Ovis aries: one gene and its partners. The protein of the gene in region 2 purifies or fractionates together with the protein of the main gene of each other region. This does not show direct contact. Links are inferred from orthologs where the notes say so. Each region holds a gene or a part of one and is shown on either strand. Other genes may lie near its edges. The genes, in order: IKBKG, TRAF3IP2, IKBKB and CD40.

The links.
Region 1: the proteins of TRAF3IP2 (region 2) and IKBKG purify together in Homo sapiens (affinity purification with western blotting; 3 studies listed by BioGRID, with this or other methods). This does not show direct contact. The link is inferred for Ovis aries from reciprocal best matches to the Homo sapiens genes TRAF3IP2 and IKBKG.
Region 3: the proteins of TRAF3IP2 (region 2) and IKBKB purify together in Homo sapiens (affinity purification with western blotting; 3 studies listed by BioGRID, with this or other methods). This does not show direct contact. The link is inferred for Ovis aries from reciprocal best matches to the Homo sapiens genes TRAF3IP2 and IKBKB.
Region 4: the proteins of TRAF3IP2 (region 2) and CD40 purify together in Homo sapiens (affinity purification with western blotting, with the first as the bait; 3 studies listed by BioGRID). This does not show direct contact. The link is inferred for Ovis aries from reciprocal best matches to the Homo sapiens genes TRAF3IP2 and CD40.

Annotation. Positions count from the first base shown.
Region 1 is NC_056080.1:79,911,334-79,918,888, reverse strand, and holds part of IKBKG (NF-kappa-B essential modulator), read left to right. Parts: intron 1-96; coding exon of another isoform or gene 97-208; exon of another isoform or gene 209-595; intron 596-628; exon of another isoform or gene 629-952; intron 953-4,247; 5' UTR 4,248-4,298; coding exon 4,299-4,449; intron 4,450-6,214; coding exon 6,215-6,438; intron 6,439-6,957; exon of another isoform or gene 6,958-7,094; intron 7,095-7,555. Other genes in the region: G6PD (glucose-6-phosphate 1-dehydrogenase), read right to left, coding at 97-208. UniProt on the Homo sapiens protein: Regulatory subunit of the IKK core complex which phosphorylates inhibitors of NF-kappa-B thus leading to the dissociation of the inhibitor/NF-kappa-B complex and ultimately the degradation of the inhibitor.
Region 2 is NC_056061.1:26,132,775-26,140,897, forward strand, and holds the start of TRAF3IP2 (E3 ubiquitin ligase TRAF3IP2), read left to right. Parts: upstream 1-3,008; 5' UTR 3,009-3,127; intron 3,128-8,123. UniProt on the Homo sapiens protein: E3 ubiquitin ligase that catalyzes 'Lys-63'-linked polyubiquitination of target protein, enhancing protein-protein interaction and cell signaling. Transfers ubiquitin from E2 ubiquitin-conjugating enzyme UBE2V1-UBE2N to substrate protein.
Region 3 is NC_056079.1:36,500,773-36,508,327, forward strand, and holds the end of IKBKB (inhibitor of nuclear factor kappa-B kinase subunit beta), read left to right. Parts: intron 1-273; coding exon 274-401; intron 402-1,726; exon of another isoform or gene 1,727-1,799; intron 1,800-2,641; coding exon 2,642-3,098; 3' UTR 3,099-3,793; coding exon of another isoform or gene 3,794-3,859; 3' UTR 3,860-5,166; downstream 5,167-7,555.
Region 4 is NC_056066.1:74,820,254-74,828,427, forward strand, and holds the start of CD40 (tumor necrosis factor receptor superfamily member 5), read left to right. Parts: upstream 1-3,885; 5' UTR 3,886-3,903; coding exon 3,904-3,954; intron 3,955-7,340; coding exon 7,341-7,419; intron 7,420-7,743; coding exon 7,744-7,869; intron 7,870-8,139; coding exon 8,140-8,174.

The DNA of each region.
Region 1 (7,555 bases), on a different chromosome or scaffold from region 2:
GAGGGCGCGGGCAGGTGCGTGCGCATCCCGGCCAGGCCGGGCCCCCCCACCCCACCGTGGAGGCCCCAGCCCTGGCCCGCCCTGCCCCTCGAGCACCTGCGCCGGCCGCTGAGCCGCGGGCCGCCTGCTGTCTCGGCTGCGGCTGTGCCGTGTCCCCGCTACCTCGCGAGTCCGCCTGCAGCTCCCCGCAGCTCGCCCGTGTCCCCATCCCTGGCCCGACCCCGCCCCTAGAGTCCGGCTGTCGGCGCAGGGCCCCGGGGAGGTTCTGCGTGCTCGCGCGGGCCTCCACTTCCGCCAGCTGCTTGACCCTGTCCTTCGACCCTGTTGGTGGGTGGGGTCTTCTGCAGCTCCGTCTCCTCGCCAGACCGGTCGCCGGAGCAGGTCAAATCAGCCCTATCAGATGACAGCCTCGTTGTGGTTCCAACCCTAGCGGGAAGGGGGACGGCCCTGCCGGAGAGACAAGGGGGAATGCAGGTCGCGACGCTAATTACTGGGGAATGCCCCGCCGGCCAACCGAGGCTTGGTGGGTTCAGGTTTCCGCTTTGGGCAGCCTCTCTCTCACCTTCCGCCGGCCGGCCAGGCAGGGGCGGGACCTGAGCATTTTACTTCCGGATCCGACAGCTTAGACACCGGAAGCCGGAAGTGAGAAGTTGGCAGAGGGAGAAGGGAAGGGCTACAGCGGAACTCGGACTTTCTCGGAGCGCCGGGGGTCCGAGGAACGCCCGGGGCCCGCCGTTCCCGCCCTTCTCACGTCGGACCGACTGAGCTGACAGGTGTGGCCCTCTTCTGAAGACAGGGTACCATCGGTGGGCGTTCTGCCGCCTCCGAAATCCCCTCCCCGGATGACCAGGCTTCCCCCTCCTGTTCGGTCCAGCCGGGTTCTGCTGCGCACTTCCAGAGCACCGGCGGAGGCAGGCCGATTGAGGACTCAGGTTACTTTGGCGGCGAGCGGGTTTGTTTCCGCCTCTCTTTCCTCCGCCAGCGCCGAGTCTGACCACACCCCTAGTTTGTGAATGACTCTTCTAGGTCGGAGACATTTTCTGTTCATCATCTGTGCATTTCAGGTTAAAGTTCTTTAAGAAGGCGTTAAATATGACTTGCCAGCTAAGTATCTCACCTCATGTGCATCATTTTGCTTCTTTGCAAAACGATGAATGTCTCCTGGACCTCGTATCATTTCTGTGACTTGAGGATGAATGGGCCATCCTGACATGTTAGAGGAACTCAGTAACGAAGCCGCTATACCTGGAGTAGAGTGAGCGAGGGAATGCTTAGAGTGGGAGCCGGTTTGATTCCTGGGTCGGGAAGATCCGCTGGAGAAGGGATAGGCTACCCACTCAAGTATTCTTGGGCTTCCCTGGTGGCTCAGCTGGTAAAGAATCCGCTTGCAATGTGGGAGACCTGGGTTCGATCCTTGGGTTGGGAAGATCCCCTGGAGAAGGGAAAGGCTACCCACTCCAGTATTCTGGCCTGGAGAATTCCATGGACTGTACAGTCCATGGGGTCGCAAAGATTTGGACACAGCTGAGCGAGTTTCACTTTAATGGGAGAACAGATAGGGCACGGCCTTGTAGGTAGTGGTAGGGACTTTAGGTTTTAAGCTATCGGCAATGAGGAACCATGGTAGGGATCCCAGCAGAGGAGGGATGTGATCAGAATCACCTTTCAGGCTGACTGGTCTGGCGCGGTGGGGAGAACTGACTATGGGGGCGGCACGTGTAGGAGCCGGGTGACTTTTAGGAGGTTATTACAATAATTACCTGAATAGTGATGTTGCTCTTATCATTTTATTGTGTAAAATTTCAAAGGCATAGAAAAGTATAATAGTCTAGTAAATTCAATGTACTCACTTCCCAGCTTCAACAGTTACCAACTCGTGGATATTTTTAATTCATACTCCTCAAAAACAGCTTCGTTGACATATAATTCACATACCTCGCAAATCACCCATTTAAAGTATACAGTTCACTGGTTTTTCAGTGCATTCACAGACTTGCACAACTATCACCATTAATTCCAGAACATTTTCATCACTCCAAAAAGAGACCCCATGAACTTCAGCCATCACTCTCACCACCCCATCTACCCCTGCTCTAAGCATCCACTAGTCTTTCTGTCTATGTATTTACCTATTCTGGACATTTCATGTAAATGGAGTCATAATATGTGGTCTTTTGTGAGTTGTTTCTTTTTATTAACATAATGTTGCAGCATGGGAATGTACTAGATTTTGTCTATTCATCAGTTGATAAACATCTGGGTCATTTTCACTGTGGCTGTTTGGAGTAATGCTGCTACCAACATTCCTGTGCAGACATGAGTTTTCATTTCTTTCAGGTAGATACCTAGCAGTTCACCCATTATTTAGAACCAAGTCCCAGACGCCATGTGATTTCTTTCAATAAAAGTTCCATGTGGATCTCTAAGAAATGACTTTGAAAGAAACATAGCCACACCAGCACTGTCACATGTAAAATAGTACCATTACCTGCTAAGTGTCATCAAATAGATTCTAAGATACATCTTGACAGGATTTCCTGATGAATCCGACGTGAGCTGTGAGACAGATGGGAATCAAGAAAGACTTGAAGGTTTTGTCCTGCCAGCTAGAGCATGGGTTAGCCATCTATTGGTAACAAGGAAGGCCATGAATGGAACTGGCCTCTGGGGATGATCAGGAGTGTAGTTTACCGAGGTTAGTTTTGAAAGGATGACTGGATATCCAAGTGGAGATCTGGCATTTGATGTGTGAGTTGGGCGTTCAGGAAAGAGTTCTGATTTGGGGCATCATTAGCATTAAGATGAGGGCTACAGTTTTGAGTCTGGATGGAATTAGTACTGGAGTGACTGAAATTAGAGAAAAAGTCCCAGAACAGAGCCCTAGGGCATGACCACATGAAGGGCTGGGTTAATGAGGATGGACCAATGAAAGCCTGAGAGAGAGCAGCCAGTGAGGTAGGTGGGAAACCAGTAGAGTGGGCTGTTCTGGAATCAGGGATCAGTGATCCATTAGATACTGCTAATGGGTTAGTAGGGTGTTCAGTGAAGCATCAGTGTAATAGTGAAATGTCCAAGCTCGTCTGGTGTTCAAGCCTCTGGCTGCAGCTCAGGCCCTACTGGAAACTTCTTTTGTGATTAGCTTCCTCTTCATGTAGCCAGTCTTGGGCAGGCCTTAAAAGGGCTCCAGGTTGATGCTGTCTGGCGTAGACTCCCTCTCTCTACTCCAGGTCACAAGAGAACACAAATGGCTCAGCCTTTCTCTGCCTCCCTGCCTTCATCTGTGAGCCCAGGCCCTGCTTTCAGATGTCTCAGTACACGTCAAACGTGGGATGATCCACTTTAGCCCTTCTGTTCCAAAGAACACTCACCAGGCTCTGAGTGATCTCTGTGAAGACCCTCTTACTTGGTGTATGGATTTCCTAGGGTTGCTGTAAGAGATAGCCACAAGTGGGGGCGGGGGTTTAAAACAACGGAAGTTTATCCTTTCCTGGCTCTGGAGACCAACAGCCTGAGGTCAAGGTGTTGGTAAGGCTGTGCTTCCTTCGAGGGCTCCAGGGCAGGGTCCTCTGGGCTTTGTCCAGCTTGTGGGGGCTTCAGGTGTCCCTGGGCTTGTGACCACATCCCTCCTGTCTCTGCCTGTATTTTCATGTGGCATCTCCTCTGTGTCTCTCCTCTTCTGTGTCTCATAAGGACACTTTTAGGGCCTTTCTCATCCAGGATTATCTTATCTCCAGATCCTTGATTTTATCGCATCTGCAAAGATCCTTTTCCGCAGTTTACAGTCACAGGTTCTGGGTGTCATAAGGTATTTAATAAGGTATGTCACATGGACATACCTTATTGGGGGTTATCATTCAACTCACTGTACTACGTGAGGGGCCACTCACCTCCACTCATGCTTGGAAGTGTGTGTGTGTAGGGTAGGATTCCCAGCATACCGACACATCCCTCCAAAACTAATTTTCTATGTTATTTCTCCTCTCTGGTGATGTTCTTAACTTCAGCTTACAGTTTACAAGCAGTGCTGAACCATGACCTTTCCAAGCCCCACAGAAGTGCCTGCACCTCCCTTAGGAATGGGACTATGTGCTACCTCTTAGACCAGAAAGCCCATGTTAGCATCTCTTTCCACTTGCCAGCATGCTCATCATTTTGCTTGAAGTGTGATGCCAGGACTCCTCGTCCTGCAGGGTAGGAGAATTCTGTATAGGTCTCTTCATATCCTACCCTTGCTAACTCTCTTTCAGGCCCTGACGTGTTGGATGAGCAGGCCCCCCTGAAAGAGTCCACTGTGTGAGATGGTGCAGCCGAGTGGTGGCCCGGCAGGGGACCAGGACATGCTAGGTGAAGAGTCTTCTCTGGGGAAGCCAGCCATGCTCCACATGCCTTCAGAGCAGGGCACCCCTGAGACCTTCCAGCGCTGTCTGGAGGAGAATCAAGAGCTCCGAGGTGAGGGCAACAGTGGGCGGGCAGCGTCAAATGTCTGGGGAGCAGGCCCTGCTGGGGGAATTGACCCCACTTACCCAGTGCCTCTGCGTTTTCTGGGACTGAGGTGGGCAGGCGCTCGAGAGCCAGTTTGTGGCTCTGGGTCAGCTAGCCTCCTTCCTTCATTTCCTGTGGGGTTCTCTGGAAGTGACTCACAGCTACAGAGTGCCATCCAGAATGTTTAGAGTCAGGACCAACACTGGGGAGGGGAGGGGATGGGAAGGGAAGGGCAGGGCAGTGAAGAAGAAGGGGTGGGCAGAGGGAGAAGCTGGGCTGCCCTCCCTCCAAGGAGCTCTGGAGCTGAGGTGACCTTTTTGGGTTGTCCCTGTCGGGCCAAGGCCGCCAGGCTCCTGTGTCTCCGTACTGATCAGCCATTGTTGTCATTCAGTCACTCAGTCGTGTGTCTGACTCTCTGTGACCCCATGGACAGAAGCATCAAACAATATACTGGAAAGGGGCGTGGCTACCCGAGGAAGGGCGTGGCTATTTAAGGGGCGTGGCCTGCTCCAGAAAGGGGTGTAGTCTGCTCTGGGCTAGGCTGGGGCTTCCTAGGAAGGGCCCGTGGGTGGCTTTGGGGAAGGGACATCTGGGCCACTGTGGGTGGACTGTCAATCGTCCCCCCTCCAGGTAAGACAACCAACAATATCCCCCAGGTGTCGTTAAATATGTTTCTGTGTTGGGGCCACATTGAGCTGGCAGCCAAGTTTGGGGCAGGGAGACAGTTCGCTCTCCACAGCTACATATGTGGTCTGAGCTCATCCCCAGGACAGTGGGGGCTGGTGGGGGCACCGTGGGCCTGAGGCAGAAAGCCCTGTCTCAGATCAGTCGCTCCCTTGTAGGGCTGGAGTCTTATGGGGACTGTGGTACGTAAAAGGAGGCTCTGGAGCCAGGCTCAGGAGCCATTGTGGTTCTAGCGAAAGAATGTTCCATCAGAAGGCCTATTTAGCTCATTGGGGGTTCTGAACAGAGAGGGGGCCTCCTCTAATCTAGTTCTGTGGTGGTTAGCACCTTCACAGGCCATGGATCCGTTTTGTCAGTACCAGTGGTGAGCTGCTGCTTGGCGGTGTCCCTGGGTGGGTGGCTCTCCTTTCCTCAGCCCTTGCTGACTGCCTGGGAAGAGGAGGACAAAGTGGTTCTTGAAGCTGTCTTGTGTACCAGGCACTTTGGCTGCTTTTCCATGTTACCCGTCCTGTCTCTGAGATGGGGATGCTTGTCCCCATTGAACGTGTACAAGAGGATGGTGAGGCTCAGAGAACTCGCCTGCTCCGAGACTTCTGGCCCTGCCCCCAAGACCCCCCTCAGTCTGGGGCCAGCAGAGCTCGGGGAAGTTTGCCCCCAGTCTGATCCTGAAGGCAGTGACCCAGGGGCCTGCTCTGACCCATGCAGAAGGCAGATGAGTTCCAGAGTCACTTACAAAGAACAAATAAACTGACATTTGACATTTTTTTTTTTTTTTTGGCCACACTGTGCGGCTTGTGGGACCTCAGTTCCCTGACCAGGAATTGAACCCGGGCCAGGGCAGTGAAAGCACTGGGTCCCAACCACGAGGCCACTAGGGACTCCCTGACATGTGTTTTTAAGTGAAGCTTTTGTGGACACTGGGGGTATGTCATTCGCGTAGCTGACTTTGAAAGTGATCGGCGAAACGAGGGAGTGTTGGGAAGACGTCCCAGTGGGGGAGTCCTCGGGGCGGTGGGGGGCCGCAGGCCCTGGGCTCATCTGGCCCCAGCTATCTCTGCAGACGCCATCCGCCAGAGCAACCAGATGCTGCGCGAGCGCTGTGAGGAGCTGCAGCGTTTCCAGGGCAACCAGAGGGAGGAGAAGGCCTTCCTCATGCAGAAGTTCCAGGAGGCCCGGGACTTGGTGGCGAGGCTGAGCCTAGAGAAGCGCGAACTGCGCCAGCAGAGGGAGCAGGCCCTACAGGAGGTGGAACGCCTGAAGACATGCCAGCAGGTAAGGACCTGGCTGCCTGCTTGGGGGCACCGGGGTGGGGGGCTCCCGGAGTTGGGGAAAGCTGTTGTCCTCCCAGTTACGGCATTAGGATGAGCAGCTGGCTGGGATATGGGTTGAAATCAGTAAAGATAAAGGAACGGAGGGCAAGTCCAGGAGAGACGGAGCCATGCATGAGAGTGTGCCCTCTGGGGACTTGTAGGGGTGGTCATTCCCGGAGGCCTGGGGCGCCTGTATGGCTCCCCTTAGGTACTTGATTTCTGGGTCCCAGAGATCAAGCTGGTACATGTGGCCCAGGGCCTGGCCAGAAATCACGCTGCTGGCAGTATAGACAGCCTGGTGGGGGCCCTTGGGGAGTGTCTCAGGTTTCCGGGGCTGCTGTAACAGAGTACCACAAACAGGGTAGTTGGAAGCCACAGAAATGTGTGGTCTGCCAGTCATGGAGGCTGGAAGTCCATGATCCAGGCGTGGACAGGGTTGGTTCCTTCTGAGGGCAGGATCTGGTCCAAGTCTGTCTCCTAGCCTCAGGTACCTGCTGGGAGGACTCTGTTCCGTGGTTTGCAAACACACTGTCACGTGGCCTTCTCCCCTCGTGTCTGGGCATCTTTCCTCATCTTATGAAGACACAAGTGTCAAAGAGCAGTTCATCCGGCCTTTAGGTAAAGGGGTAGGAACCGGTTTTGTTTGGTAACCACGGTCAGCAGACGAAAGCACCAGGCACCCTTCTGATTGGCATAGGGGTGCCGGTGATTTGAAGGGAGAGTGAGGTGGGGTCAGCGACAGGGTCTCGAGTGAAAACCCATGGTGGGTTGGTCAGGGTCAATGTGGTGAGGTCAGCAGCGTCCGTCCCCGGGGTCAGTTCTTGGATGTTACGATTCCATCCTACTCAGAGATGGGTAGACTCAGGCCCTGTCTTTCCTGAGGATCCCATTTCAAAGGAATGACTCTCAGGTCCCCGAGAAAGCCTCTCCTGGGTTGTTGGAGGTACACGGACATCTCAAAGGGCCAGAGCAGGGGTTCACATGTGGGGAGCCTTCTTAGGAAAGACTTGGAGAAAGGGGGGGTGCTCAGTCAAATGTTGGCTGGAGCAAACTACATTCTCTTGCTAGCCCTGTTTTCT
Region 2 (8,123 bases):
CCAGAATGAGGCAAGTACTCACTAAAGACTGTGGGACTGGAGTAAGCCAGAAGGGCAGGCGGGACCAGGCCCTGGGACCCAGGACGTCTCTTCTCTTCTTGCCTCAGTCCTGGAACCAAGTTGTGGGGAGAGTCCCCAGTGCTGGGGACTCTGTGAGTGAGGACCATCCTGTGGGACTGGAGGACAGGAGTTTTCTTCTCTTCCTCGTGGTGCGTCAGAGTTTCACTCTGCCTTTTCAGCACTTAAAATCATAGCGTTTAAAGATGGAAAAGGTTTGTCCAAGGAATGAATCTTTTCATCTTTGCCTCTCTTTTCGTGGGTTAAAACCATAGTATAGTGAGTCCAGAGCATTAGGTCTAAATGGTTTTGTTTACAAAGGTGGGAAGAGCTGGCCTTTATCTAATTATGCAAGAATACAGAGAGACTCTAGAGCCTGGCAAACACCTATCCTGCCTCCTGGACCAGAACAAGAAGGCTGGTCTGCCTCCTGAGTATTCTGCTACTGTGTATACAGCAGCCGGCATTGCATAAACACAGCACCATGCTAACTGGCACAGTTTCAGATCCATCCTTTTATTACTTACACCTTTATCCCCCCTCTCTTAAATTGTCAAGAGTTGTGCAAAGAAAGCAAGTTCTGTGTGCTCCACCCAAACACATAGGAAGGGCAGACTTCAGCAGGGCGACCGAGGAAGGGGAGGTAATATCCACCTACTGGAAGTGAGACAGTTCTGGAATTCTTCTCCACAGACTAGCTATGTGACCTTAGAAGTGACTCTGTCTCGAGCTCCAGATTCCTTAAAGGTCAAGTGGGAATGACAGGAGTAAATTCATCTCCAAGACTTTTTGGAGGACTAAATACACTAACAAGTACTGTATGGTAGTTCCTGGGTGAAGAGTTCCTCTTCTGTGGGGGCAGCCAAAGGGCTGTGTGTATCAGCCGGAGAACACCAGCAGGGTCTCCTGCAGGGCTGGAGGTGTTCATTTCCCAGGCGCTCCCTGACATTTCCCCTGACATCCATATTTGACTAACTGTCACAGGCATATTCAGACAGCAGTTTCTAGTGTTCAGGACCTCCTCTCTAAACTGTTCACATCCGCAGGCTGCTGTTCAGTGGGATCCCAGCAAGGGCTCCTAAGTAGGAACCGTTAACTCCTTCCTCAAGTGCTGCTGTTCTGCTCAGGATAAACTGACCCAGAGGAAGGCCCAGCCACCAGCAATTATGAGCAGCCCTGCAGTGCTTGGTATCTCCCTGCAGGGCCCTTAGGTTCACATCTGGGGAAACGGTTGGTGGGAGAACTAGAAAAAAAGATTCCTCTTGTTCTTCCTGATGGGCTGTACTCCAAAGGCAGTAGTTGACAGGAGCGTCTTCTGGGCTTTTCCCAATCCATTTAAAGGCATCTAAAAGAAATGAAAACTGTCTTCACCCCACCCTTTCTTTGCTCTCCCTCTTTTTTTTCTCCTTTTGTCACTCTTTTCTATTCTCATCTCCTAATAGTGATAGCTTTTTCAAAGTATCCTGGTACCAACAGCTCCATACAAAAAAGCACTATTTTCCCCTAAACTAAAAAAAGCCTATAATATAATTTTGAGGGAGAAAACTCAAGGCCAAGGTAAGAAGTGCAATTTTTAAATCTTTTTTTTTTTTTAATGAATGAAGTACCACGCCCTTGTGGGGACAGGAATCTAATATAGACATGTTGGTGTTTGTATGCTCAGTCATGTCTGACTCTTTGTGACTCCATGCACTGTAGCCCACCAGGCTCCTCTGTCCACGGAATTTTCCAGGCAAGAGTACTGGAGTGGGTTGCTGTTTCCTCTTCCAGAGGCTCTTCCCCACCCAGGGATCGAAACTGCAACTCTAGTGTCTCCTTCATCTCAGCTTTTTTACCACTTTTTTCTTTTAACCACTTTTTTACCACTGAGCCACCAGGGAAGCCCCCAATATATGTATAGTATACATATTTTATGCAATGACTAGGATAAAAGCCTTCCATTCTCACCCATTCCCTCAACCCTCTTTCCTGGAGGCGATCACTACTTAATAGTTTGATATGCCTTCTTCCAGACATTTCTGTCATTTTTTTTGGTCATTTGGCAGTTATGTCGTGCTTGCCTACTAGGTTCTGGGCACAGTGATAAGTGTTAGAAACAACAGTGAATAAATGTATATAGATACACATACATGTATTTATCTGTCATATCTATTGGCAAAAGCGAGATGACCAGGGTAATGGGCTGACCCTCAGGACTCAACCAGCCACGCAGAGCAGCTGGAGCATAGTCCACCTGCCCACACCCAGCTGGCTAGAGGGTAACTGAGCTCACACCCTGGCCACCGCTGGCCGCCACAGCTCTCATTACGGTCTGCCATCCTGGTCTTCCTGTTTCTAGGGTCTCCCTCAGCAACAAATTCTGTAGGCACCGATTAAACAAGAAGGAAAGATGAAGAAATGAACTCGAGGACATGAAAAATGCAGCCAGAGGAAGACTGTGTGTGTGTGTGTTTTCTTAAAAATAGTCACTTTTTCATGCCTGTGGATGGGGTAAGGAATGTGTGTGTTGGGGTGGTTGGGGTGGGGGCGGGGAATGGGCAGTGAGTCCCCCCTTTGTGATTAAGAGCAGTAAATACAGTTAGAGACAGTAAGAAGTTTTGCTCCATACTCCTCCCCACGATCTGCCCCACCCGTTTCCTGCTCGGGAGCTGCTAATGAGTAACCCATCTTACCAACCCTCCCCGGGCATCGTCTCAGGCCTGGGTGCTTCGACAACCCTGAGGTTCAGGGAACATTCCTCAGCAGTTACTTAGCTGGGTGATGGGGAAAAAAAAAAAAAGAGCAGCCTAATTGGCTAGTGGCCTTTTCTAGTGAATGAAGGTTTCTGTTTTAAGAAGTAAAGTGACTTCTCAGCGGCTGTTGATTCACTGCCCACAGGGAGATTTTTGAGCAGAGGCTTCCTAGCCTCGGTAGAAATTTGCATACAGCTTCCACTTCCTGCTTCGGAGCCTGTTCCACGGCTTACCTGGGCCGGGAGAGGGTGCAGGGAGGCCTGGAGCAACCCAAGGTAGAGAGGCCCCGAGAAGGAGAGAGCGTGACCACCGGTCTGTCTGTCCTTGGCAGCTCTAAGGTAAGTGCTTCAGTTGTCACCTGACCAACCTTACTTCTTAACTTCTGATCCATTTTCCAAAACAATGTTTTCTCCTTTACCGAAAGTGCCGTCTCACTTTCCTCCGCCTGCCTCTCCCCACCTTTCATTTGTTGGTTCGTGTACAGAGAGACAGCTCCGGCTTAGAACATGACAGCTACGTGTCGGCTGTGAGACAGGGCCAGTGGTTTAGTATTTCAGACAGGAGAGCGAAGATTAACTCTTTGAGGAATAGACATCTACACCCACACACACACCCCTGTGTTTGAGGACTTAGTGTCCCCACGAGTTTTGATGAAGAAGACGTCCCCCCCTCTCCCTCCCTCACCCCCCTTCTCCAGGGAGGGAGCCGGGGAAATAAAAAATGAAGAGTTTGGCTTCCAGCCCCACGATGCATCAGTGGCAGAGGTGGAAGGAGAACTCCCGAGTTTTCTTGATCCCTCTTTCACTCAGGGGAAAAAACCAACACCCTGTTCTTGAGCCAGGAAGTCCAGCCCTGTTCCGTGCTGGCCATGGCTCTGCCAGCCCCTCTGCCCCAGCCCTCCACCCTCCCACACCGCCCAGGCATTTGCTGGCACAGACAGCCGGCCTGAGCCTTTAGGAAAAAACAGGGAGAGAAATGCTATTATTTGCTCTTAGAAGCTTATCAAGCTTCATGTGACTGTCAAGTTCAAGATGGTCTCTTAGTATAGGGGGATATTTTTAAATGAACAGGGAAAGAAATAATAAAAACAGAGGACCTGAAACTTGGTTTCAGATTCTCCCTCCTCTGCTTGCTGACTCTGTGCTGCTGCTGCTGCTAAGTCGTTTCAGTCGCGACCCACTCTGTGCGACCCCATAGGCGGCAGCCCACCAGGCTCCCTGGGATTCTCCAGGCAAGAGTACTGGAGTGGGTTGCCATTGCAACTCTGTGACTTAGGCAATTTACTTCTTTTTTTTTTTTGACTCAGGCCTGGATTTCTTCATCAGTAAAATGTGGATGGGGGTGGTGAGCTAAGATTATGTTGAAATTCACTTCTAAGAAAATAAGGCGTCGGTGATGAAAATCCCAGAGGGGCAGCCATAGTGGGCGGTCTCAGAAGATATGTGTTTTTTTTTTACTGATGATTCAAATATATTAATCTTACCTATCCTACTAGATAGTCCCTGGAGGAAAAGGACTTAATCCTTCTTTACCCTCTAGCACTCAGAATACTATCAGACACCTCAGGGGCGCTCAGGTTTCTTCCACATAAACTGCTCTGATTCGTTTCACTCATCTATAAAAGGTGAAGCCTTAGCCTGGGTGAAAGGCTGGGGGTGGGTAGAGGAGGGTACTGGGCAGCCGCATGGCTGTGTGGGAGAGCTGCCTGGAATTTAGATATAATTTTTGACTCAAGTTAAATAGAACACAGGGGGTTTCTTGAATTAGTTTATGTCCCATTTGGGTTACCCAGGAAGAAATGGCCTGTGCACTTGCCCACAGAGTCCAGGCAGCGCCAGAGAGCTGGCACACAGGCCTGGCTCCAAAAGGCTGTGTTACTGACTTAGCTGGAGCTGGAAATGACTCCTTGGCTAGACCAGTCACTTTGTGTGGGGCCTTTAATGGGAGGTGAAAGGAAGCTGTGAGGCACATCCTGATACCATGTAAGGGTGATGACTAGGATCAGACACATTATTAGATGGTAAACACCCTGAATTCTTAACCTTTTCCAAACCACTACTTTGTTTAAAAAAAAAAAAAATCATTGTTTCTTTTGAGCTAATTCTCTCCCTCCATACAGTTCACACAGGCCCTGGCTGAGTGGGATGGGCCGACTCAGGGCTTTTGGTTTTGCTCAGCTGTTTCTGTGGAATATGAAGGCCCTGCTATGGTCCTCATCATGCTTTCAGATAGCTATCTCTCTCATCCTGGGATGAGAGGACAGGAATTTCAAGATGTTTCACCTGTGATGCGTTACTGATTTTTATTTTCAAATAACATGCACCATTATCTGAAATCAAGCCAACTGTAGTTTGCTGCCAGCCAAGCTTTGACCCAGAAAGACCACCCACAGACATTCTTCATCTTGTGTCATTTGTGATGGAGCGGCCCCTGCTTCGCTCGGTGCTTGGGGTGAGCTGACTAAGCGTGAAGTCTGGGCGTGTTGGGGAGAAAACTGTTAACTCAGGATACTCACTTTGGGAGGGTTCAAAGATGGAAAATATTTAAGCCTGCTTCTCAAAATTAAGGAGCTAGTGACTTCCAAATGCTCTGAAAATAAGAAGGCAGTCATAACTGCAGAAATTCAGAATCATAGTTGCAGGCACTCAGAAAGATCAGCTATGAGCGTAGTTTGCCTAAATTAAGTCTATGTTTTGAAGAGTTGAAATCTTGGAAATATCCTGAATTCGAATCATTTTTCCACGACAGACAATTTTCGATTAGCCTTTCAAAACACATATGAATTGCAGGCAACTGCTGCATGGGAAAAAAAGAGCATACAGATGAGGCATATTAAACTTTAAATTCCTTTCAGATCCAATGAAATGACCCCTAATGTTTGATCATATTTCCTTATCAAAACAACCCTGCAGTCCTTCCGTGAGAAAGCATCTGAGGATCAGAGTCAAGCAGCTCTCCCCCGGGCCCCTTATGTTTCTCCTAGTGCATTGTCACCAAGGTATTTTTAGTTCATGAAGCCCAGGCTGTCCCTCTCCCTCAGACATTCGGCATTCTTTGCGTCTCTTGCCCAGCAGGCCTCCTGCTCACCCACATGTGCGTCGATGCCTGAGAGTTAAGCTCGCTCTGTGCCTCTGTGCGTGTGTGTATGCAAGCGTGTTTGTGTGCATGTGTGTGTGTATGTGTGTATACACACAGAACTTCCTGGAGACTTGAAGCTATAAACTGGCTGTGGGAGGAAGGTGAGCTTTCATCCCCCTGGTGACCTGCGAAGCTGCGCCAGTCTGGAGTGATTTCCTGACAAGGCAGCTGAGATCAAGTCGCTTGGGACCGAAGGGAGCCCCAGCCCTCATGACGCCCTTCCTTCACCCTGAAGACCCAGGCTGGCTGAGGTCTGGGCAGCTCCTTCAGTGATGATGGGAACTTGGCTTTTCCCACCTCCCTGTTTCCTCCACTAACGGTTCCAGTGTTTTTCCTTCTTCCTCTCCCAGGCGGGGTTCCCAGGTCTGCCTCCCATCACCCTTCCTCCTCTGTGCTGTTGGCCCGACTCTTCCAGGCTCAGCAGCTCCCCTCCAACACTCTTGCCATTTACCTGCACTCGTTCTCTCCCTCCCCTTCCAGCTGCCCCCTGTCTTACCCAGCAACACGTCAAAATCACAATTTAAGTGAGCCTTTGTCCTCTACCAATAAAGGACAAATTTGTTTAACTTTTCCTTCAGAGTTTCCCACTCTTCTGGCTTCTCTTCCATTTTCCTTTCCTCCTTTCCATCCCTTCTTCTCCCTCTCCAGATTTTTTCCTTTCTGCACTTTCTTCTCCTTCACTCTGGGGTCTGGACTGAATTAAGAATCACAAATGTGTGTTTAGAGAAACCGTATCTGAAACAAACAAACAAAAGAACCCATGGGCTGGTTTGAGGTTGTTCTCTAAACGGTTTTTACCAGCTTCCAGCATGGTGGAGTCAGTCCATTCCACTAGCCCCGTCAGCCAGTTAAGCAGCTCAGAGGAGTTCCAGGGCGAACTTGTAATCAGGTCGGGTCACGCTGCACTGCCTTCAGCCTGCTGTGAGCTGTACTGTGCAGGACACCTACAAGGGCCAGTAAACGCTCCCTCATCTCCAGGGCTCACCACTGCTTCCAGTTCTCTGGCAAACCAAGTGGAAGAACTTCTCTGTCTGGGAAATTCTGCAAGTAAACTTGGAAATATTTACTCACTGGAATTTGAACCTGAGCCACACAGTTCACTCAAAACTAACTTCCACTAAGCCAACTGACGTTGGGAAAGTTTGCATGCATTTGGGTAGTAAATGAAGAATGTTAACGAGTTTAAAGTTTTGTTTTTTTTTTTTTTTTTAATCCAGAACTTTCAGACACTTATAAAAAAAAAATTACTCCCTGGAGAATGAAGTAAGACCTTGAGAATCTGTGATTGCAAAGATCTGATCCAAATTGGATCTGAGGCTCTTCCTAGCTGTAAATTTATATATTTATTAATATATCCCCCCAAAATATTCATGCTATGTGTCTCTAGGGCCTTTCAACCCTATGGTTGACCCAAAGAATGCTTTAAAAAAAAAATCCAAGCAGTTGGTAATAGCAAGACTTGATCATTTAGGAGCTAGTAATGTGGGTTATTAATTACTCAGGCTGCTCACTCCTGCCCTTCCTCTGCTTCTTGCTCTGCTATTTGTCTTCTTCCAGGGACATAACACCTTCATTAAATCCCATCCGTCCTTGCCTCAGAGGCGTCCCCTGGAAAATATCCCTTCTCTAGATGTATCGCCATTTATCATCACCCTTTGTTTGTGCTCTGTCAACAAGTTTTCAATTTATTTTGAATTCAGTTTATGATTAAAATTTAATGAGATCCAATCAAGTGCTTTTCTCAAATCAAGATGCCTCGGCAGTCTCACCCATATCCTCTATTGTAGTGGCATGAAGGAAAGCCATCACAGGTTTCCAGCCTGGCCATTCTTCATAAAACACAGGTGGCAGGTATCCACGCCTCCTTAGCTTCAAGGTGAATGGTTCTGAAACCTATTTATTCCAGAAGCTTCTAAGGTTTACTCAGCTCCTGCCACCCCCTTTCTCTGCTGCCCCCAAAAGCTGTGCAAGTCCATGCTTCCAACCAAGAATCAAGAGGATTCGGTGCACAGGCTCTGGTGCTGAACTGCCTGGATGTGAACCCTGGCTCTGCTCTTTACTAGCTCTGTGGCCTTGAGAAAGTTACTTAACCTCCTTGTGTTTGGTTTCCCCATTCCTAAAATAGGGCTGACAGAGTGCCTACGAATAGGGTATCTGTGAGGATAAGGTAATACATCCAAAACACCTGGGACAATA
Region 3 (7,555 bases), on a different chromosome or scaffold from region 2:
ATTAAATGGCCAATGGTTGATTAAAAAAAAAGAGAGAGAACCCTCAGATCTCTCTGTTTAGAACCCTCAATCAGAAAGTTACACCTGCAGATCAGAAGCAGTTTCTAAGCTGAAACGCAAAGCATCAGACGGCGATGTTGCCTGATTTCTGCAGGAAGAGCATGTGTCTCGTGGCCAGGTGTCTTCATGAGAAAACACCCTGCCGCGGAAGCAGAGTCTCAGTCATCCCTCTGCCCCTAGACCGCTGACTCTCGTTCTGGTTTTGCCCTCTAGAGCAAGGTCCGGGGTCCCGTCAGCGGGAGCCCGGACAGCATGAACGCCTCCCGCCTGAGTCACCCCAGCCAGCTGATGTCGCAGCCCTGCGCGGCTCCTGACAGCTTGCCCGAGGCTGCCGAGAAGAGGTGAGTCCTCATCCGCGGTGTCCAGTGCTGAAGTCCGGGGCGCGTCAGGAGGTCGTGGGCGTGGAAGCACGGGTCTCCTGGTGGCGGCGCCATGCACGCCCCTTGGTATCTGTCCCCCGTGCCGGGCACCGTGGGCGTGGATGTGGTGTGTTGCTCACAGCACTGCTTGTGGCCTGCCCAGCCAGGTGTCCTTATCTGAGGCCGAGTTGCTCTTGCTGGATGGGAGCCTTCCGTCCAGTGCTGGCCAGCCCTGTGCTGTCCCCTCATCCATCCCCTGCTATCTGCTCACAGAAGCAGGTCCCTGAGGGTGTCCTCTGGCCACCGCGCCCCAGTCACACATTGCCGGTCCGTCCTGTGGTCCCTCCTCCCCCCACCCCCCGCTCACCCCTCGCCGCCCTGCCTGTTGCGCACGCCCCTGCTGCAGAGCTGAGAGTGCAGCCTCAGAGCCCTTCCCATGAGGTTTTCCCTCTCTGCTTCCAGCCTAGTGCTGCCCCCAGGCCCCCTCTGGTCAAATCCGTCTTCATGGGAGACTGTTTTGATCGAGTTATTCTCCTGGATACTCAGGGACCAGCCATGGCAGCCAGCTGCCTCGGGGCCAAGGCTGAGCCTTTCCCAGCCTCCAAGCGTCCTCTCCAGGCTCACCCCCACTCCCAGGCAGCTCCTGGCTCTGCCCGAGGGTCTTGGAGCCCGGTCCAGACCAACAGCATCAGTGGGTTCTGGGCTCTCACTGGACATGCAGGTTCGGGATCGGCAACCCCGGGTAACCAGGCCGGGCCGACCCCCCTGCATCCTGGCGCCCCGGGTCCTTGGCTCTGCTGACGCCCTCCCTGGGGTGTCTTCCCTCCGCCCTGGCCCTGCCTCCCACCCCCTCCACGGCCCAGACACACACGCACAGATCTCTGTTCCCGAGACACCCGTGCGGCTTTTTGTTTCTGGCTCAGCCTCACACCCATTCTTCAGGGCCTTCCCTTGCTGGGCCCCAGGCGCTGGAGACGGTGAAGACTGATTCCCAAGGGCAGGTCTACAGACTAGAGAGGAGACCTGGTTGCTGAGGGAGAGCAGTGACTGACAGCGGGTACAGGGTTTCCCCTTGGGTGATGAAACGGTCGAGGACCAGACCTCTGCGATGGTTGCACGACGCTGTAAGTGCACCAGAAGCGTGTGGTCGTGCACCTTACACGGGTGAACTTTATGGTTTGTGAATATATCTCAGTAAAGCTGTTTTCAAGAAGTCCTGTTCCTGTACTTGGGGAGTTTGTATTCTCTATTGTTGTGGGTTTTTTTTTTTCTATTTCTCTTTTGGCCTCTTGGCTTGCAGAATGTATTTCCCTGAGCAGGGACTGAACCTGGGCCCTCGGCAGTGAAAGTGCAGAATCCTAACCACTGGACCACCAGAGAATTCTCCGTGTTGGATTCTTAATTCTCTCCCCAACTTCCAGTTAGCTCCTTGAGGGTGGTAACCGGGTCCGGGGCTCTGGGGCCAGCCCAGAGCCTGGTGCCTGGGCAGTGGCCAGGCAGTGGATGAGTCTGGGCTCTGCTCCTCCCACTAGCGCCCCCTTTGCGGTGAGAGGAGGAACTGCGGGGCCCTTCCTGTTGGGTTTGTCCCCGCTCTAGGAAAGGCGTCCTGGGGGCTCAGGTTGCCATCTGTCTGCCCACGTCCTGGAGCTGAGGTTAGAACAAGACAGATGGCTTGCTTTGCTCTCGCCTTTCTCAGCCACGGCCTGTTCTCGGGACGTGTGCATTTCTTATCGTAGAGAAGGTGGGACGTGTGCATTTCTCATAGGAAAGGCGAGAGTGCAGCAGATGAATTAGTTCCTAGAACACGCTGCTCCCAGTCTGAGAGCTGAGGACACCTGGGGAATTCTCGCGGTCTGTATACCTTTATCAGTTTCAAGAACTGTGAAACAGGTGATCTGGGAGAGATTTTCAGATTGTGGCAGTTTAGAGAGAGCCTAAGAAATCCCTTTGGCTCTGAACTTTTTTATTAGGCCAGACCTCTGCTTTCTCATGTTGTGAATGGCGATGCTCACGGCTGGGTTTGAGCTTCCATAACAGTGCTCAAGAAGAACAGATGAAAATTGCCGAGGCAGTGTCATATATTTTAAGACACTCAGTATCAGAATAATCGTTCAATTTTTAAAATCTTTCCAGAAGCCCTTTAGCATACTTGTACATAGTAATATATTTCTTTTGAAAAGTTCACACTGACCACGTTCTAATAATCCAGTCGTTTTCTTTAGTGACGACCTGGTGGCTGAAGCTCACACCCTGTGCACCCAGCTGGAGAACGCCCTGCAGGACACCATGAAGGAGCAGGACCAGAGTTTGAGGGTAATGGCCCACGGGGAGCCCCGCTGCTCCACACCTTTTCTTTTCTGCAGCAAACGAGAAGCTGAGAGAGAGGCGACGCCCTGCCGCCTTGATCTCAGTGTACACTTGGGATTTTCTGGTACAACCTTCATATTCATCATGATAACAGGGCTGACGACTGTTGAACGAGCACAGGTACCTTACGTGCTCTGTCTCCTCTCATCCTCACTGTGCTTGGTCCTTATGAGGCCGGTAGCATCCCTGGGAGAAGGCCTCTCTCCCGCTCTTCCCTTCTGTGCAGTTGCTGGGCATGCGTGTGAGAGGTGCGGTGCTGGGCTCCAGGGACAAAGCTGTCACCACCCCATCTCTCAGGGACTCGGAGCTTAGGGACTCAGCAAGCCCAGCTCTAGGGAAGCTGATCTAAAGAAAAATGAGTCCAGGTGCAGAGACATCGAGGCAAAGCTGAACTTTCTGAGAGGATGCTTAATTGTTCGCTTGGGTCTTTTAATGGCCATTTCCTCCAATACAGTCCCGCACTAGCGTTGCCGAAACTTCTCGGTTTGGGGAAGGATCGGAGGGGTCACTGCCAATGGTAATCACCTCTTATTTCTTCAAGTGCCATCCTGCTGTTTGGGGCTTTCCGTGTCTCCTCCTTGGTACTCTTCCTCCTCTGGGCCCTGTATGTTTCGACCCTTGCACTGCCTATGTGCTTCTGCCAGAGGGAAAGGAAGTCTGGCCAGGCGGTTCCACCTGGTTAGCCTGGAGCTGGAGAACTAAGACGAGCCCTGGGCACCTGGGTGTTCAGTGAGCATAGGTCAGTGCTGTGAGCTGCAGGAATCACACTTAAATCGCTTGGCCAGAGTCTCCAGGGGCTCTCCAGGGGCCAGGGGCTCCACGCCCATCTGAAGATAAGCTCCTGCACGGTCTTGAAGACATAGCTCCAGCTCTGGGGTCCCTTGCAGAAACTCGACTGTCAATGAAAGGCTCTAGCCTTCCTTCTAAATCATGCTGGTTGCCTCCCAAAGAAGAAAACCAGGTACCTGGGTGGCCACAGGGTTGTTAATGAGCCCATTGACTTTCAGTCTCTAGACTGGAGCTGGTTGCAGTCGGAGGAGGAGGAACAGCAGGGACTGGAGCGGGCCTCGTGATGGTGGGCGGCCCTGGCCCCAGTGGGCTGCCTTGCCCAAGGCCCCAGCGTCATCGCGCCCGGCGTCCTTGGCACCCAGACAGAGATCACGCTCCTCCAGCAGCCATGACGGTCGCTCTGGACTGAAGGCATGGCCCTCCGTGGGCACAGCCAGCAGCTCGTCTGCTCGCTGGATTTCCTCTGCTGCAGAGGCCCAGTGGACGTGGATGCCGGGGGGCGGCGTGTAGGAGATGTCTCCAGGGCCGCCACTGCCCCTGCGAGGGGAGAGGAGTGCTCCAGGCTCAGCGGCCACACCCGACTGACTCCCAGGACGAAGTCTGAGCGGCGCTCGGTGCCAGCTGTCTCCTCCTGACCCCTCCTGCTCTCCAGAGGAGGTCTGTCTGCGTAGCTCGAGTTTCTGGATTCGGCTTCTCTTGAGCAGACCTCCAAACCCCGGATCCTGCCCTGTCCCATCCTCCTTTCTCCTCTGATCTCACTGCTGCTAACGTTTGTCCTTCCACCTGCGATCTGCAGCCAGGCTGCGGTCCTTCCAGCCAGCGTGACTGGAGCCAGGAGGGAAAAGCATCTCCCTTCCTGCGTGTCCCAAAGAGTCCCTGGGAGCGAGCTGCCTTGGAGAAGAAGGAAAGACGGAAAGGATGTCTGTCACTCATGAGCCTGTTGACCCCCTGTGCCCACAGCCCTGCCCCGTGTGCGGCTGTGGGGGGTGTGGGGGAGGTCCCGCCCCTCGTATCCTCTCGCGGTATTATTTAGTGAATGTATTTAAAAAACAGATTCTCTATTTTGCAACATGACTCAGATCCCACTGTCTATTTTTATAATACCTCTGGTTAGGACTTAACACACTCAAAAACCCAGCTGCAATGGAACATTTGATGAAATTGAACGGTGCCAGGGCCCGCGCTGCTTCTCTGCTGTCTCACAAAAGCTTCTCTGTATAACAGAGGGACAGCACGGTGAGCTCGGATGATCCCAGGCAGGCAAGTTTGGTTGGAGAAGAAAGCCGGACGAGAAGAGTTTCACAGAATGCCTTTCGTGGAGGCGGTTCTGTGGGTTCCATGTACAGGAAGTTTGGGCAACAACGGTTCATGCTTTAAGTGCCTCTTAGAAATTCACATTGTGCACTGGTGTACTGAAGGATGGAAAGTCCCGTGATAATGAAGTGAAGTGAAGTCCCTCATTTGTGTCTGACTCTTTGGGACCCCATGGACTAGTACGCTCCTCCGTCCATGGGATTTCCCAGGCAAGAGTACTGGAGTGGGTTGCCATTTCCTTCTCCCGTGATAATAAACTGGTTTAATTCTGCCTAAATCCGCTGTTTCCCCAACTTGCTTGACAATGATACCTTTTATTTTTCTCTCGTGTGCATGTAACATTGATGAACAGCCCAAAGAACTGGAGAGTGATAAAGCATGATATAGAAAACACTGGTGAGGAACACAGTGGGAATTTAGACCCGAATGGTAGGCTGAGGTGGGGTCAGATTAGGGAGGGAATGAATGTTGAGCTAAGAATCAGGGGCCGATTTTAATGGCAGTTGGAAGTCACTGAAGAATTTTGAGTAAAGAATCACCAAAGTTCATGCTTCAAAAGAGTAACATAGGGACTTCCCTGGTGATGCAGTGGAATCCGCCTTCCAATGCAGGAGACATGAGTTCGATCCCTGGTCGAGGAACTAAGATCCCGCATGCCAGGGGGCAGCTAAGCCCACACACCACAACTGGAGAGACTGCAGGGAAAGATTCAGCAACAGCAACTAAGACCCGATGCAGCCAAATAAATAAATAGAACATTTTAAATTAAAAAATGATAAAAGAGTAATATAACTGGAAAATGCTAATAGGTTGAAAAAATGAAGACCCTGGAGGTTGGACTTCCAGAAAGTGGAGCAGACGCACCTCCCCACCTCCTAGTTCAGCTGAGACCCTTGGACGTTATTTATAAACGAAGAAGATTCTGAAAGGTAGTGAGAAGGATGCAGAGCAGCGGGGACCTTGGCCCTGAGTGGTGGCACGTGGTGTGTTCCCTGGGGATTCCTCTCACCCCCTGCATCCCTGGCGGGGGCTGGGAGCACCAGCCAGTAACACCAGCGGAGACGCTGCTCTCCAGCTGTTAGGCTCCTAGGTCTGCTGTAACAAATCACCACAAACTCCATGGCTTAACAGACGTCTATTCTCACAGGTCTGGAGGCTGGAAGCCTGAAATCAAGTCCTCCAAAGTCTCTAGGGGTCATTCTGTTCCTTGCTTCCTCCAGCTTCTGGTGAACCCAGGAGACCCTTGACTTGTGGCCGCTTCTCTGCCTCTGTGGTCGTATTGCCATCATTTCTCTGTCTCTCATATCTCTCCTATGTGCCTTTTAGAAAATCAGATGTGCCTTGTGATCAAATTCAAGGCTGATCTGGATAAGGATACATGTCTCTTTCCAAGACCCTTATCTTACGTTTTGCAATATAAGGCAATATTTATAGATTCTGGGGATTGGGATGTGGACATTTCTTCCTGGGGGCCACCATTGAACCCATATAGCCCCTCCCCAAAATTCATGGTGTCAAGAATGACTTAGAAAAGAGAAGAGCAAAATAAAAGCAAGCAGAATGAACAGAGCAATAAAGATCAGAGCAGAAATCAAAGACATTGACAAATAGGAAAACAATATGATCAATAAATGAGCTGATTCTTTGATACGTAAAAAGACGGAAGACACAAATGATCGATATCAGGAATGAAACGATGAAATTACTGATGTTGCAGATACCAAAAGAATAGTGCAGGAATACTATGAACAACTATGCGTATAAATATAACAGAATAAATGAACCAATTACTTGAAAAACAATCTACCACAACTCATCAAATTTGAAATAATATGAATAGCAATATAGCTATGAAATATATTGAATTTATAATTTAAAAACCTCTGAAAAAGACCTCTGGCCCGAATGGTTACATTGGAAAGTTCTACCAGTGAAAAAACACTTACTCTGCACTATCTCTTCCAGAAAATAGAATTTGGAGGAAATATACCTACCTCCCAATTCATTTTATGAAGGCATTAGCATGGTACCAAAGTAGACAAAAACAGAATAGAAAATGAAAACACATAAAGATGCAAAAATCCTTAACAGAATAATAATGAAAAATCAGCAGTGTTATAACCCATGACCAAGTGTGGGTTTTTTCATGGATATGAAGCTGGTTCAATATTTGGAAATCCATCAGTGTGATCACACAGAGGCTAAAGAAATATCACATGATCATATCAATTGATGCAGAAAATCTCAGGACAGTATTCAATACTGATTCAAGATAAAAGTCTCAGAAAAATAGAACTAGGAGGAAACATCAACTGAAAAGTAGCGTCTACAAAAAACCAACAACTACCATTTTACTTAATGGTGAAAGACTGATTGTTTTCCCCTTCCAATTCAAATAAAGCAGGGACATCCTCTCTCACTTCTGTTAGTAAACATAGTACTAGAGGTGTTAGCACAATAAGGCAAGAGAAGGAAATAAAAGACATAGGGATTGGAAATGATGAGATGAAACTGTCCTTATTTGCAGATGGCATGATGGTTTATGCTGTTTCTCAGTCGCTCAGTTGTATCCAAGTCTTTGCAACCCCATGGACTGCAGCATACCAGGCTTCCCTGCCCTTCAGTGTCTCCTGGAGCTTGCTCAAACCCATATCCATTGAGTTGGT
Region 4 (8,174 bases), on a different chromosome or scaffold from region 2:
ACGACTGAAGCGACTTAGCAGCAGCAGCAGCATATTAATATAATATAATAATATAATATATTATATTATAATATTATATAATTGATATATTAATTGATATATTAATTATATAATTATATATTATAATTATATTTTATATTTTAAATATATATTATATGATTATATAAATAATATATATATATAAGTTTTAAAAATCTTACATTGTTTAAGGAAACTCAAGGAGAAGAAACGGCAACCCACTCCAGTATTCTTCCCTGGACAATCCCGTGGACAGAGGAGCCACAACTGCTGAAACTTGCAAGCTCCAGGGCCCGAGGGTCACAACTGGAGTCTGTGTGCTGCAACGAAGATCCTGCATGCCACAACGAAGACCCCACGCAGTCAAATAAATACTTTTTAAGAACAGAAAGAGTTGGTTCAATGAAAGGACAGTGGGAAAGGGCTCTCCCTGCAGCGATGACAGCACAGTCTGGAGCGGAAAGTTGAAGGCAGGGAGGACAGTTAGAGATTCAGGCCTAGACGCTCTGTGGGCTTGTAGGAGTGAGAGATCTGTGGGGTTGCTTCACATCTGGGAGGCGCACGATCGGGTTTGTATTTTAGAACCACCTAGCAGCCAGACTCCAGCAGTGCTGCAGACTTGACCTTCAGGCCCACTTCTCATCCATTTATCTGGCCCTGGGACTGCCCCCCGCCGCCGCCCCCACCTCCCTACAAAGGCCATTTCTTCTGTGATTTCAAAATCCTCGGTTCCTGCTCTTTGGAATATCTTTTGCCCTACTCCCACCACTGAACGCTTCATAGTTTCACCCTTCAGTGGGACTCTGAAATATTGTCACCCTCCCCAAAAGTCATCTTTTCTCTTTCCTCCTCCAGCGCACTCTTCTAAGCCCAGGAAGATTCGATGCCTTCTCTGGGCCCATGCCTGCCAGCCCATGTCTCCTCGGGATATGCATATACTAAAATATCTTCCCTTTATCTCATCTGGTCTTCGCCCCATGGGGCCACCCGGAGGCTACTATTTATTCTTTCACACATTAATTTAAGCTGCTTTAATTGCTGCTATGATATGTTTTATATAATATAATTAATGTTTAATTCTGTGTACTTGCTTCCCAAGGCAGTTTTGTGAAGGGCCCAATTTTAGAATCAAGCAAATAAAGAATAAGTGATGGCTTAAGTTATTATAGTAACGCCCCCCTACACCGCCCCCCTAGGAATGAAAATGGTGCTTGTGTTTTCCAATGTGGGTTAAAAAGGGAAAAGATATTTTAATGTTGTCTCTATTCCAGGCATGCTTGTGTGACTTTCATGAAATTCCCTGGTCTCTGGTTTCAAGTGTTCTGGGACTACAGGTATCAACTTGAGGTCTGTGTTGAAACTATCAGCTCTATACCTCCTTTCTGACGGAGACTGTGCTTAGAATAAGAAGTTATCGAACCTACTCACTTATTTATTCATTCAGCAAATGTGTTGGTGCCCAGGACTGGGACAGATTCAGTCCTGCCCTCAATGAGCTCATCATCAAATGGGGCCAGGCATATGGGGTAAGAATCCAGCATGTTACTGCTGTGGGAACCTGGGAGCAGGGGCAAAGGTGGGGTGCAGTATCCACTTCTGTCTCGGGGAGTTTAGAGGAGGTTTATCTAAAGAGAAGGTAAAATTTAAACTCATTCGAGGAAGGAGAAGGAAGAAAACAGCAAGACAGAAGAAAGAAACAACTGTGCTTTTGGAAAGTGAAGAAAAGGCGAGGATGCTTGAAGCCAGCATGCATGGTAGGACACGGCAGGGTGTGAGTGTGGGAACAGAGGGTGGGGCTGAATGGAGACTCAGCTGAGCCAGAAGAGAGTTTGGACCATCCTCAGATGAGACTCCCTTGTTCAGGAAGGAGATCAAACCAGTCAATACTAAATGAAATCAACCCTGAACATATATTGGAAGGATTGATGCTGAAGCTGAAGCTCCAGTACTTTGGCCACTTGATGTGAAAAGCCGACTCTGGAAAAGACTCTGACTTGGGAAAGACTGAAGGCGAAAGGAGAAGGGGTGACAGAGGATGAGATGATCAGATAGTATCACCGACTTAATGGACATGAATTTGAGCAAACTCTGGAAGATAGTGGAGGACAGAGGAACCTGGTGTGCTACAGTCCATGGGCTTGCAGATAGTTGGACAAGACTCAGTGACTGAACAACAACAGGGTCTCAGTTCAGTCGCTCAGTCGTGTCTGACTCTTTGCGACCCCATGAATCGCAGCACGCCAGGCCTCCCTGTCCATCACCAACTCCCAGAGTTCACTCAGATTCATGTCCATCGAGTCAGTGATGCCATCCAGGCATCTCATCCTCTGTTGTCCCCTTCTCCTCCTGCTCCCAATCCCTTCCAGCATCAGAGTCTTTTCCAATGAGTCAGCTCTTCGCATGAGGTGGCCAAAGTACTGGAGCTTCAGCTTTAGCATCATTCCTTCCAAAGAACACCCAGGACTGATTTCCTTTAGAATGGACTGGTTGGATGGGGAGGGGGGGGGGTAAGTGGGGGGGCAGTGGGTGGGTGGAGGTGGGTGGAGGGGGTGGGGGAGCTGGGCTCAGAGTTACCTGGAACATAGCAGAGACTCAACAAATACTTAATTGAATGAGTGAGGCTGTTGTGACAGCCCAGGTGAAAGATGGTGAGCCTCTGAATTAAAGCAGTGGCAGAGGGGATAGAAGAGAGGGGATGGATTCTGAAGGTAAAATCTACAGGTCTGCAAATGTGCCCTTTGCAGCAGAAGCCAGGAGAATGGGGTTAGCAGCCCTCTCCCTTCCTCTCTGATCTGTGCAGTTTGACCTTTTGACCCTGCCCAGAAACTCAGAGCTTGGAGAGTCATCACCCCAAACACCCTCTAGTTCAAGCTCCTTAGGTTTTATTGAAGCACATCGAGGCTCAAGGACACCCAGCCCATCAGAAGCAGAGCCTAGGCCACAACCCAGGTGTTCCCTGCTGCAGAGCAGAGTTCAAGAAAGGCTTGGAGGGTCTGAACTGGGGAAATAATTGCTACAAGGACGTGTGCTTCTGCAGAACTAGGGGGTCTCCAGTCTCCAAAGATTCTCAAGGGGTCCTGCGACCCCAAGAAAGAGTGGTCTAGTCTAAGCGCCTGTTTTCAGGTGGCGGAAAGGAAAGGAACTGGAATGGAACAGAGTCTGGTGGGGACAGCACGCACGGATGGATGGGTGGATGGATGGATGGATGAATGGGATGAGGCAGGGAGCGCGCTGGGACGCGGCGCCCACGCGAGGGAATTTCCTTTGAAAGAGAGCGAAACTGTAAGTTGGGAAACTCTTTTCCTTGAAAGCCCCCCCGCCCCCTCCAAACCTCCTTCCACCACCCAGCCGTGGCCTTCCCGTTTTCTGGGAACTTCTTTAGGCCTCTCCATCCGCGGCGTTCGACACTTTCGGTTCCGCTGGGATTGCCGGAGGCGGCGGGGAAGAACCGGGCGGGGTGGAGGAGTCTTAACACCCATAGGGATCTCTCTCCACTCCCTTCGCCTCTCTCCCAACTCCTCATCCCCATCCCCAGAAAGCGGCTGCCTCTCTCCTGTTCGGCCTTTGTAGTCCTAGGGGGCGCGGGGAGGGGGGGGTTCCCATGAAGAGCTCTCCTTGGAACGACCCTTTCCCCCTTTCTCCCCGCTTCCTTCCCCAAAGTGCGTCCCTAAACTCCTTGGGGAATTAGACTCCCCGGGAATGTCCTGGGGGAAATCCCAGGGAGGTGTGTCTCCGGGAGCTCCGCCCCTCCGCCAGCGAGGCTGGCTGCGATTGGTCCCCGAAGACCCCGCTTCTTTCCTGGGCGGGCCCCCGGGCCAGGACAGGGGAACTGGAAGCGCCTAAGTCCCGGCGCGCTCTCCTCCCGCCGCCGTTTCTCACCTCGCCATGGTTCGTTTGCCACTGCAGTGTCTCTGCTGGGGCTTCTTTCTGACCGCCGTAAGTTGAAATTCCGTTCCGACCAGAGGCGGGAATTTGAGATTAGAGAGTAGGGAATGGGAAAAGAAGCGATACTTCGGGCAGGGGACCTTCTGAGCTGATTTTGCGGTGGGGGTGTGGAAGCTGGGTAGGGTACCGGGGTCATGGCTGAATGAGATGGGCTGTTTCTCTCTCCTCCCGGGCAGGGGTGGGGGTCCCAGGTGGCCCACAGAGGGCGCCTAGTGGGGTCGCCGCAGGAAACGCCTAGGCAGATGAGGTTGGGGGTTTCGGCAGCTTTAAGCCTTTATCTGGTCAAAGAACTGGAGTCTGGGTCTGCCTCGAAGGCTGGCCCGAAAGAGACGGTGAGGGGTTTCAGAAGTGAGAAGGGAGGCCAGCCAAGGGAAGGGGCGGGTTTGGCCGGTTTCCTGTCTCTTTCCCATTGTGGATAAATGCCAGCCTCTGTGAGTGGTTATCACCTCCTTGCCAGCTGGGGTGGCCTTCTTCCAGGACATCTTGCGGGAGCATGGGATGAGGGCAGTGGCCCAGGTGCTTCTCTGAGAAGGCAAGGAGCTTTTAACGTTCCCACTCCAGAACCAAATCCTGGTGATCTTCCCCTACCCCCAACATAGGAGGAATACCCAAGGCTGTGACCCTGCCTCCTGAATTTAAGGTGACATAGGGGACTCTTGGGGGACCTGAACAGTTCATGGGACCATGAAAGGGCTGGGAGACCAGCAGAGGTTTCTCCAGGTGCCAGAAGGGCTAAGATATGCCCAACCAAGCATATCTCCGGGATTTTCAGAGTTCCACACTTGACTCGCTTCTAGTTTAAATGTATTTTTTGTAGTTCCTCATTCTGGAGGCTGGGAATCCCCCAAGTACCTGACACTGTCATCCCCACCCCTCTGGTCTCCCCCTAACTTTCAAGGGCTGTACTTTCTGACATGAAGGCAGGGCAGGAATGACCCATGAAGTAGGGGGTCAGCAGCAAGGGGAGAGATGCTGTGGGGAAGCTACTCTGGCCCCAGCACTTTCATTTTCACTGTAAGCAATGGCTCTTAGGGAGAAAGGGGGCAGGAAGGGGGCTCTTGGAGGAGAAGTGGAGGAAAAGCCAGCGGGGATAGGGTAAAAGGTGGTCTGGGCTTCTCAAGAGCAAAGTCCCAATTTTAGCTCCAGGTGGAGACTAGGCTGTGACAACAATATCTGAGGCTGTTTACTGAGAGCTTCCTGTGTGTCAGGCTCTGAGCAAAATACTTTACGTGCATTCTTGGTCTGATTTCTTCCAACTCCCCCATTATACAGATGAGCAAACTGAGGCTCAGAGAGAGAAAATGGCTTGCCCCAATCCACTTAGCTAGGTGGAACCTGCCAATAAATGTACATCTGCCTGATTTCTGAGCCAGCCTCTCAGATGGTGAGAGTCTCCAAGCCTTGGTCCTGAGCTACCACATGTCAGAAGGGTTGAAACTGTGAAGTGGGAACTGGGGATTTGACGCATTTTCAGAGGAGGGGCTATATGTCTCGTATGTTTGAAAATGGCATAGAGGACTTTTGCTGCCCTGGGAGTGTGGGGGGAAGGTCCATGGGCTTGTGGGGAGAACGTTCACAGGATGGTGTGTTGTGATGTGATGGCGGGAGCAGTAACCTTTGCTCTTTCCTTCCCTGCTTGGGATAAGACGCACTTCTGTAAGTGATTCACGCGCCCCCCCCTGCCCCCCCCCCCGCCCCAAGTTGAATGAGAACTACCAATTAGGCAGGTTCCTGGTAGCCAGGGTGCTGGGCAACCCAGCAGATACTTATGTATGTATGATAATTAAAAGTGCCATTTAATGAGCAACTCCTATGTTCTGGACACTATACCAGGCCATATTTATCCATTCTTTCTCGTCTTCACAACCTAATCTGTGCATGCGTGCATTCTAAATTGCTTCAGTCAACTCTTGTGACACCATGGATTGTAGCCTGCCAGGGCTCTGTCCATGGGATTCTCCAGGCAAGAAAACTGGAGTGAGCTGCCATATCCTCCTCCAGAGGGTCTTCCTGACCCAGGGATCAAACCCATGTCTCTTATGTCTCCTGTATTGGAAGGCGGGTTCTTAACCACTGGGGCCACCTAGGAAGTCCTAATCTGTGGGGCAGGCATTATTTCTCCCATTTTAGAGTTGTAGAAACTGAGGATAAGAGAGGCAAAACAATTAGTTAAGTGTTACAAAGTCAAGACTGGAGCTTTAAGCTGTTTGACCCTTAAAACTGTTCTTTTCACTGGCTGTTCCCAAAGTGTGAGATGATTTTAGAGAGCATGCGGTTGCTGTTGTGAAGTTGCTAAGTCATGTCAACTCTTCTGCAACCCCATGCAGATGTAGAATTAACAACATAGATTCACTTTGCAGTTCTATTTAAAATCCTTTTCATTTTTCAAGAAGGAAGTCGCTGGAGCTAGAATATAGTTAATACCTCTCAAATGCCTTCTAATCCTCCTTTTAAAACAAAAATCAGGAGCAGGCCTGGGGTAGAGGGCTGTCAGTAAGCAAAGCAATCAGCTATGGCTTAATGACATTGTTTTGTTTCTGCTGAATTTATTTTTAGGGTTGCCTTTTATTTATGAGAAGTGATACTAGTTTTGCTCTCATGGCAATGCTATGAGGTTTACCTTGAAAATAAATGTATTTAAATGAACAAGAAGTGATGAATAGCATGGGTGGTACCTGGATGTAGTGACAATAATACAGGAGACCCACGCTGATGGAGAGAGGGAGTATTGAGACCCGAGTTCTCATTCGGATTCTATCACTGTGTGACCTTGGGCAAGTGAATCGGCCTTTCTGGTCCCCAGTCTCACCACGTGTGAAGTGAAAGAGTTGGATTTTATGCTTCCAGCTGCTCCATCCTGTATTTCGTGACGGAGGGGTTGGATGATCAGATGATGAGAGGCTGAAGGGAGAAAACATGACGAGGCTCGGAGAGGGGAAGAGGGTGGGGAGCAAAAGAATAGAAGGAAGAGGCCAGATGCTAAATATAGCCCCTATTTGGGCTAGGACCAGCTGGAGTCAGCCAGCTTCAGGACTCCAGGGTAGATGCTGGAGTCCTCATGTGCTCTTGGGTTGCTGGGGAGAGGAAAGACTCAGCCCTCAAGCCAAAAGGAAGATGTGTTTAGTGCAATGAATACTGTGAGTTAACAGTGCAATTACTTTGTAAAATATCAGAGTGATTCTCTGGGTACCTTTGTCATCATACTAGTTGGCAGTTTAGATAAAAACAAATGTAACATATAACACACAGGCCCCGTTTTTCTGCTTTGTACTTCCACTTTGGTTCTAACCTCTGTCCTGGCCGATTTGCACCTGTCTGCCGAGGAGGCTACATCTGAGATTTCAAGATCCCTTCAAATCACCCAATTCTTTTTTTAGGTCCACCCAGAACCAGCCACTGCCTGCGGAGAGAAGCAATACCCAGTGAACAGTCTTTGCTGTGATTTGTGCCCGCCGGGTGAGACGCCGACCCTCTAGCCCCACGTGGGACCTGTCTTGGTCTGCTGGCACATGCAGATCTCATGTGTCAACGATAAGCTTGTGTCTTAAATGACCCCTGGGATTCCCTGTCCCTGCCCCAGGATGTTCTGAGCTTCCTTTCTGCCAACCCAGAACTAGGGTTCCTATCTCTTCTGCGTCCTATACCCGAGTATGAAGGCTGGAAGGGTCTGGGACTGCCCTCTTTGCAGCCCCCTCCCTAAAGCCCAGCCTTACCACTTTTCAGTTAAGTGTCTGACTCATTGGGTGGCCTGGAGCACCCTCATTTCCGGATGTTTTCCAGGACAGAAACTGCTGAACGACTGCACAGAGGTCAGCAAAACAGAATGCCAGTCCTGCGGTAAAGGCGAATTCCTGTCCACCTGGAACAGAGAAAAATACTGTCACGAGCACAGATACTGCAACCCCAGTGCGTGGGCTGCGGGGGAAGGGGCCCTTGGGAGTCAGGCTGACAGTCCAGCTCATTCCTGACAGTACAGCCATCCTGGCTTTTTAAATTTTAATAGCCAGGGTCTGTTCTGATTGGTTAGAGTCTGGGTTGTCTTGGTTGTTGCCTAATTTGATTGCCGTCCCTGCTAGGAAGAGGGTCTAAAACAAAAGAACAGGAAATATGAAGATCAGGGGCCCCTGGATCAAGGCCGGTAAGGGGTTCCCATCCTTCCTTCCTGTCTCTGCACAGACCTAGGGCTCCGGATCCAGAGCGAGGGCACCTTG